Linked DNA regions of Schizosaccharomyces pombe. The protein of the gene in region 1 purifies or fractionates together with the protein of each later gene. This does not show direct contact. Each region holds a gene or a part of one and is shown on either strand. Other genes may lie near its edges.

The links.
Region 2: the proteins of nse5 (region 1) and nse1 purify together in Schizosaccharomyces pombe (affinity purification with western blotting; one study listed by BioGRID). This does not show direct contact.

Annotation. Positions count from the first base shown.
Region 1 is NC_003423.3:1,255,935-1,259,855, forward strand, and holds nse5 (Smc5-6 complex non-SMC subunit Nse5), read left to right. Parts: upstream 1-1,968; coding exon 1,969-3,135; 3' UTR 3,136-3,258; downstream 3,259-3,921. Other genes in the region: prf1 (RNA polymerase II-associated Paf1 complex protein), read right to left, coding at 1-1,092, 1,140-1,313, 1,364-1,452; AP-3 adaptor complex subunit Apm3, read right to left, coding at 3,337-3,921. UniProt on the Schizosaccharomyces pombe protein: Acts in a DNA repair pathway for removal of UV-induced DNA damage that is distinct from classical nucleotide excision repair and in repair of ionizing radiation damage.
Region 2 is NC_003421.2:1,191,862-1,195,794, forward strand, and holds the start of nse1 (Smc5-6 complex ubiquitin-protein ligase E3 subunit Nse1), read left to right. Parts: upstream 1-2,125; 5' UTR 2,126-2,335; coding exon 2,336-2,914; intron 2,915-2,962; coding exon 2,963-3,082; 3' UTR 3,083-3,556; coding exon of another isoform or gene 3,557-3,871; 3' UTR 3,872-3,933. Other genes in the region: gpi2 (pig-C family GPI synthesis protein), read right to left, coding at 76-133, 190-359, 406-553, 612-1,210; protein Hsp10, read right to left, coding at 3,557-3,871.

The DNA.
Region 1 (3,921 bases):
GCTGAGAGGCGTCTTCGTTCTTCATTCATACGCTGCTCTGCCAGGCGAATTTCGGTATGGTTGCGGCGTCGATTACGTTCATTCACTTTGGCAAGTTGATCCATGGCAGAATTACTATTTTGGTTAGATCCCATGGAAAGTTCTTCCAAAGTGTTTAATTGATCGTCAATCTCCTTGACCAATTCTGCATTACCAGCAACATAAGCAGCTTGTCTCCTTTGACGAAGACGGGTCTTTTCAGCAGCGATGTTCGAAGGAACACGCGATAACTCTTTCTTCCTGTTAATAATATCAGAAACCTCCTTTTCGCTTAAAACGTATTTACTCATATCCCTGAGGTCATTCAGCTTTCGTTGTACAAAATTTTTAGAGGGCATGGAAAGCTTATCTTCCATCATTTGGTGATGCCATCGTTGGAAATCATGGTCGGAAAAAGGCTCATTTGATAAGACGTTGACATCGAACACTCTTTTCGAGCGACCATGAAAACATTCCAGTGAAACTTTAGTTAAAACACCATCAACACGATACGGCTTTCTGCTTTCTAAAATACCCTTGACTTGACATAAGCGATATACACCTTGTCCATCACGCTCACCAATTTTAACCCGAACAAAGCATCCAGTGACGGTGGACTCAAAGATAGGATGATACATGTACTCCGCGACATGTTTACGCCCAAGACGAATTGCATTTAAATCGTACAAATTGGCGGATGCATTATCTTTTGAAACTTGTTCAACTTTTTCCTCAGCATAGCTGGGAGAGTAACCTTCCTCTTCTTCGCTCTTCTCCGACTCATTCTGTTCTTCATAATCGGAAACAGGGCTCCTTTTTCTAGTTCTTTCAGAGACGCTTCTAGCTGAACGTTCCTGGCGGCGCTTTTTCAGCTCAGTAAGCTTATCACGTTTGCCAGCGGCTGCTGAAGTTAAAGGCTTGTCACGAGTAGACCTTCTAGTAGATTGCGCCATATACTGAGCATTTTGCTGATGGAGGCGAATTGCCAATTCACGCCTTTCCATCAACTTTGAAATTTCTTCTTCACGTTCGAAGAGAATACTCTCTCTCTCAATTTCCGTCATTGCCATTATCCTTTATTTGGTTAGACAACTTTATGAAAAATGTAAAAATCAACGTACTTTGCTCTGTCTGCTTCATCTTTAAACTTGCCCTCTAGACGATACGGGTTTTTGAATTTTTCTTCAAATTCGTCTTCCGACTTCTCATTTCCTTCTCCTCCAGACTCTTCCGCATAATCCTGTCCAACATTTTCATTATTGTCTTCGTCTGAACTGCTGCTCAACACATCATCTCTAAAATATGTTTTGTTAGCAAGGTCAATCCGATAAATTTGCTTTCTTACAAATCATCATGAGCCCTTTTACGGTTTGAAGCAACATCTGAGTCATCAATACCAGCTAATGCCAACAATTCATCCTGAAAGTCGGCCATCTTGGTGGAGGACAGGATCAGATTAGCTAGATACCTGACTAATAACGGTTCCAAGGACTCTCCACCAATTTCATAACAGCAGCGAAACTTTTATCTACTAGCTTTCAAAGGTACTATCTGCTAGTACATTAAAAGAATAATGTTTTTATAATTTGAAAAGTGATTTTTTTTTTAATTTTTTTTTTACGAAATAATTTTTGCAGATGTTGTCTTCCTTGGTTACAAACCTTATCGTTGAAAGCTTCCTTTTAAAATACTGCTCATTTGGGGTCCTCCTCTTTCCCTCTTTTTGAATATATTTCTTCTGTCGCGTAAAAACTTCAAACTGAGAATTCTGCATTTTGTTACAATATAAAATTCGTGAATCAAACCATTCAATAATAATCACAAGACTGTAAATAGGGCACATGTTAAATGCTCTTTTACAAAGAAAATCGTTTTAAGAAATAAGATATCTCTTCCATATCTGGCTTCTTTTACATATAAAGTAGCAAAGATTGCTTACGCCATTTCAAAATGAACTCGGCTCTAAAGGCAATAATAGAGCTTTGTATTGAAGAAGACTTGTTGCCAAAATCATTAGATGTTTTAGAATATCTTCTATCGACGACCTCTATACCAATTCCAGCTTGTTATATACGAATGTGCATAACTCTTCTAGTCCACCCAGAATATCCTACCTCTTCTAATATTCAAGAAAGCTGTAATTGGATATTACAGCAGGTGGTTGAGAACAGAAGCAAAATCAACTTTGACGCATGGTCATTTGAAAATGATCTATCGGACAACGATATGCCTAAAGAAAATTATCTGAAGATTTTCTCCAACCAATGCTTATTTACCCAAGATGTTGATTATTGGGATCTAATTGCATACATGTCTTCTCGTCCTCCTGACCTTGAACGTTGGATGTCCTTGATGGACATATGGTTAAGGATATTAGAGATCGATGCTGAGGAAAACGGATCTGCGTTGATGAAAAAATACATGGGAGAAGATTTGTGTGAACTTCAAGATGCCATCAGAATTTGCTTCTCCTGTTTCACTCTTCCCCAGCAAACAATGGAATCACCTTTTGCAACAAGTATGTCCAAAGCACCTGCTAAAACAGAAAGTCGAGGTTCAAATAGTTTTGAAGGAACATCAAGACTAGCAAACCTAGGTGCCAAACTCTTATGCCTTATATGGGCTATGCTTCCGAAGGGAAGATTTTTTGTTGTACATCTGACAGACGCTTTTCATTTTCTTAGCAAACTCGACGAACGTTTTTCAAAACTGAATGCGAAACAACAAGATCTTTTCTTTGGAAACTTAGGCGCCTCCAATCTCCGGTATTGCCTGAGCCAATATATACTTATGAAAGGAATAGGTATTGGAATTAACATACGCCATACACGTTGTGAGTTTACTAAACAGCTAACTCAACTTTTACCCACTTCCCTTCCGAAAAACAAAATCAGACAGAAGCTACATCTACGAGCATGGGTCTCATTTTTGGGTTCGGCCCTTCGTGAAAGTGATCGCAACTTTGATAAAGAGCTATTTTACACAACGTTGAAGCAGTTATACACAATGTATCAACAAACAGAATTAGTTGGTATTGATAGACCAATGGCAATACTCAAAGACATGCTTGTATTATTAGATATTTCAAAAAAATTGTCCTTGGATAAAATCGTTTAACTTAATAATTTAACTACAAATTAACAGAAGTCATTTGGCATTAATTGTGTATCCTAATATATATAGACTATATGTATCGTTTCAATGAATGAGGCTTTGTGTGGAAAATAATTATTATAATCATTAGTGATAACTAAGAAAATGAAATTTATATGAATAATATATAATAAACAAACGGGTAGATAGAAAGTAAATTAATTATTACCGAAAACGAAATGAAACATTTTGTGCAATAATTGTATGCTTGACCCCTTTATAAGATTTTTTATCTGGATGATTAAGCATCTTCAATGACTCTACTTTAAAATTATGAAGGGTTGATCCTTGAAGTTTATATTGTAAATCAAGGTGCTCAAGCTTAGAGTAGCTACTTGACTCTTCGGTTGAATTGGCATCTTTCTTTAAGGGGGCCAGGAATCCTGTCAACACTAAGGCCGGGGATGTCCAAGCTAATTTTTTTACCGACCACTCCAGAATACCTTCTTCCATATGAGTATACTTGGAAGCACGAAAAATATAATTTCCCTCGGTAACCGTAACGCTCTTTAGAGCTTGAGGAATAGTTATTAGGATTTTTAAATTTTCAACGGATTTTTTCCCGGTGTTTCGAATACGTACTTCGAACCTTCCATCCAACTTATTTTTTGCTTCAACAACAACAGGCAAAGATTTCTGGGTAGCAAAGTCTGTTTGAAAAGAAGCTAATGTAAATTTTCCGTCCGGTGGAATGAATTCAATCTGATCCGGATGTTGTTTCCATCTTTTTAAATTGACTGACTGGTGGAA
Region 2 (3,933 bases), on another chromosome or scaffold:
AGACGGCCAGTCGTAAAAAAAATAATATATTTTTTCGCAAAACGTAGTCAATTAAAAGCAAGCTCGCGAATTAGGCTAGCCCTTACTTGGACCTAGCTTTGGTAATGCAATATCCCAGGGACCGTGAATTTCACTAAGATATATATGTGAGAATTTAGAAAGAAATAATAAAATAAAATAATTACATACTTTTTAAATCTTTGAAGCTTAATAAACCAAATGGGACATATAAACGAAATGAAAAATATTAATGAAAGAAAGACAAACGCAATAACAACAGATGCAACAGCATTCAAAGCAATATATGCACTTATGATCAATACGAGGGTCATAAGCATGTCAGCGTAAAAAGAGAAAACCTGTAATTGGTTAAATAAAAGAAAAGGCCAATAAATTGCTTCTTACATGAATGTATTTGCGAAAAATGGGGAATAGTGCAAACCAATGAACGGCAAAAAGAATAAAAAAAAATACATTAATTGACTTTTCCAGTCGTGAAGCTAGAACAACAGATGCACTCAGCGCCGCATTTGTTGATAAAGAATTGTGTAGCCTAAAAAGAAAAATAATTAGAAATGGAATTAATTACGATGAAGTTTCCAAAGACGTACCTGACATGAGGTCTGATAGTTTCCGTCGTATATTCATGAAAAAATACGTTCGCAAGGAAAAGCCAAACAGCAATAGCCCAAACTGAGTCAGGAGAGGTAGATTTTGTTAATGACATTAGAATTGGCGATAGACCAGCAAGCGTAAGAACAATTAATATACAAGATTTAACGATCCCCATGTAATTAGGAAAAGTTCTATTGTTACAAGGCTTTCTCAACACAAAATCCCACAAAATGAATGCCGCGACCGCAGAAACATTTGACACGAAACCAACAAGCGCACAAGATAACTGGTTCCTATAGATCGAAACGAAAACCGAGGCAAATATAACTACGCTTGATAGATGCTGGGAGACAGGTAAACTATCGGCCACTAAAGACCAAAAGTCAGTGACTTGAATGTTAACATTTCGTTGTAAGCCATTCAAAAAAGATTCATCAATGAAGTTATCTGGGTAATCTTGTTTCCTCCATAAAACCTTTTTCCAAGGTTTCTTTAGTTCAACAACTTCTTTTACAGAGGCTTTCCTGAACGTGTTCAAGACGAGTGATTTCGCGACCATCTTTTTGGGCGCTGGAGCAGCACATACTTCATCCATTCAGTTTTAAAGTAATTTATAAATCAACTAAATAACTACATTCGTCCTAAACTCTCATACAAATTAAGCTGAATTTGCTTCCAATACCGTATTTTCAACAGTTCTTAGAGTAGTTGGATTTGGTTAACATCGACTGACTATAATATAAGTTGACTAGTACTGTATGTTTGGGTCCGCAAACAAATAAACCACACTTTCCTAATTTAATTCATATATATCTACTTTAAAAAGTACATTCAGCATCGTTAAGAGTTTTTATTCCCAAGAAAATGATTTAACTGCATGACTCTGAATATAGGGTTGTTCATGAAATCTGCAATCGCGCATACTCGCAATTGGACTTTAATCTATCAATTGACAATTCAAGTGATAAAATTTACGACTGAACTCTTATAAACCCGAATTCAAGCATTCTAGTAAGCTAATAAGTCAACATTAATTATAAACAATTATTCTAAATTCAACGAAAAGTAAACTTTCACGAACAGGGTTTACATTTTACGAAAAATATGTGTATTCTTTCTAACTTTCCCTTATTCAAAAACTGCAAAAGGTTATCTCTTAGTTTCCTATTCTTGATGTACGTTTAACTCGTAGTGTTATAAAATACTTGAAAGCTAAATGTGCGTGGTACAATAAGATGATCAGTAGAAAAATATGCTGTTTTTTTTTTTTTAAAATAAATATAATAAATGTTCTTGTTCCATTGCTTGCATCTGTATGTTTTCTAACCATGTTTATGTGCGTAAACAATAGAAAGAAAAGGATAAAGAAAGAAATTTCACAAAAATATATAGCATAAATTTTTTTTAAAAAAAAGAAAGGAATATCTGCTGCTTTTCACAAATTGTTCTAGCTGCGCGTATTTAATGGTAATCAAATTTTGTTTCACACTGAATACTGATTTCATCTACTACCAACATATACCATTACACTGTATGTTTCATGATTGTCAATATATGAACGGACTATTTTAAGACAAAAAATCGAAACGACCATAAAAATTTGATAAAAAATTGAAAGGAAGCTAGGCGTTTTGTGCGTGTTTGTTTAAATTTGCATTGGTCAATTAACGCGTCAATTAGTAATCAAAATAGTAGAAATACAAAAAAAGGAATAAACGGTATGGAGAAAGAGAGACAAGATGGATTATCTGACAAGCATAAATTCATTCTTCAATATATAATGTGTCGCACAGCTGGTGTTGATAATGAACAAGTTCGTGAACTTGTTCAAGAGCAGTATGGAGAAACGGCAACTGTAGAAGATGTAATAAATGAATTGAACAATTCTTTGCACAATTTCGATTTTAAGATAAAACGAGTACAGGATCAACTGGATGGAAGATTAACGCTGCACTTTCAGAATTTATCTGGAGACCCAGTATCCCAAATGGCTACTCCTTACCCTCCTGTTCAGATAGAACTTATGAGAAAGATAATCGAATGGATCATGAAGTGTGATGATTACCAATATTCATTAACGACTCTGCAAATCCAAAAATTATCGAGAAAAGAAATGGGATTGGCACCTAGTGTTATTGAGTCTCACTTACATACGTTTGAACGTGATGGATGGCTAAGACAGAGAGAGGGTATTTGGACATTTACGAATCATGCGTTAGCTGAATTGGATGCTTATTTACACAACGAATACGAGAGCAATTTATACGAATGCAACGCTTGTCGCGAAATTGTAATTGCTGTAAGATACATATCACAAATGCAAACTTACTAACTGAATACCTTATAGGGATATGTATGTGATTGTGGCTACTGCTTGCATGTTTACTGTTGCAAGCATTTAGCTCATGTTAATTGTATAAATTGTAACACGCCATGGGCAAATGCGACCGTTATAGGACGCTGGTAATTTTTTCACTACCTACTGGTGTTCGCTTTACTTGTTTATACATTTGGGCTACTTGGGAAAGGATATAGAAAACTTATAAAATTAACAGTTTTTAATGTTGGAAAAAAGGGTTCGTAATTAAACTATGTGGAGAACACTCGCATTTTAAACTGAAATCGTTAAAATTCAGGTGAAGGGTTAGACTCATAAAACACGAACTCAAAATCTTCTTTACAAAAAAATAAAAGAGAAATGACATCGATCATCAAACGCATAATCACTGTCATTTTCTTTAAAAATGTCCGCATTTACATCACATTTAAATCTGAGTGCAATCGTCCTTAAAATTAGAGCTGTTAAAAAAGCCATCTTGTACCAGTTTATCGTAATTTGCTGCAAGAACAATAACAAAAGATGTTTTTGCGTCCAACAGCTTTTTTTTTAGTATGCTTAATAGGCAGTGGCTGACGAAGAAAAAATTACCCATTAATTAATTTATTCCTTGATGATAGCCAACAACTCGTGATCACGGTACAACGAATACTCCTCTTCGCCCACCTTGATGTTGCTTCCACCATAAGCAGGCAGCAAGACACGATCACCAACGGCTACGCTGGGTTGAGCCAGTTTACCTTCCTTGTTATAACCGCCCTTTCCGACGGAAATAACACGACCTTCGGATAACTTTTCAACGCTCTTCTCAGGTAGAAAGATACCAGAAGCGGTTTTGGTGTCGGCCTTGATACGTTGAACCAGAATACGATCCAAAAGAGGCACGATTGACTTGGCGGATTTCAGTTTGGTAGCCATGTGAAAGAATGCAAAATGATTTTAAAAAAAAGCCTAACAAATACAAAAACTGTGGTTAATGC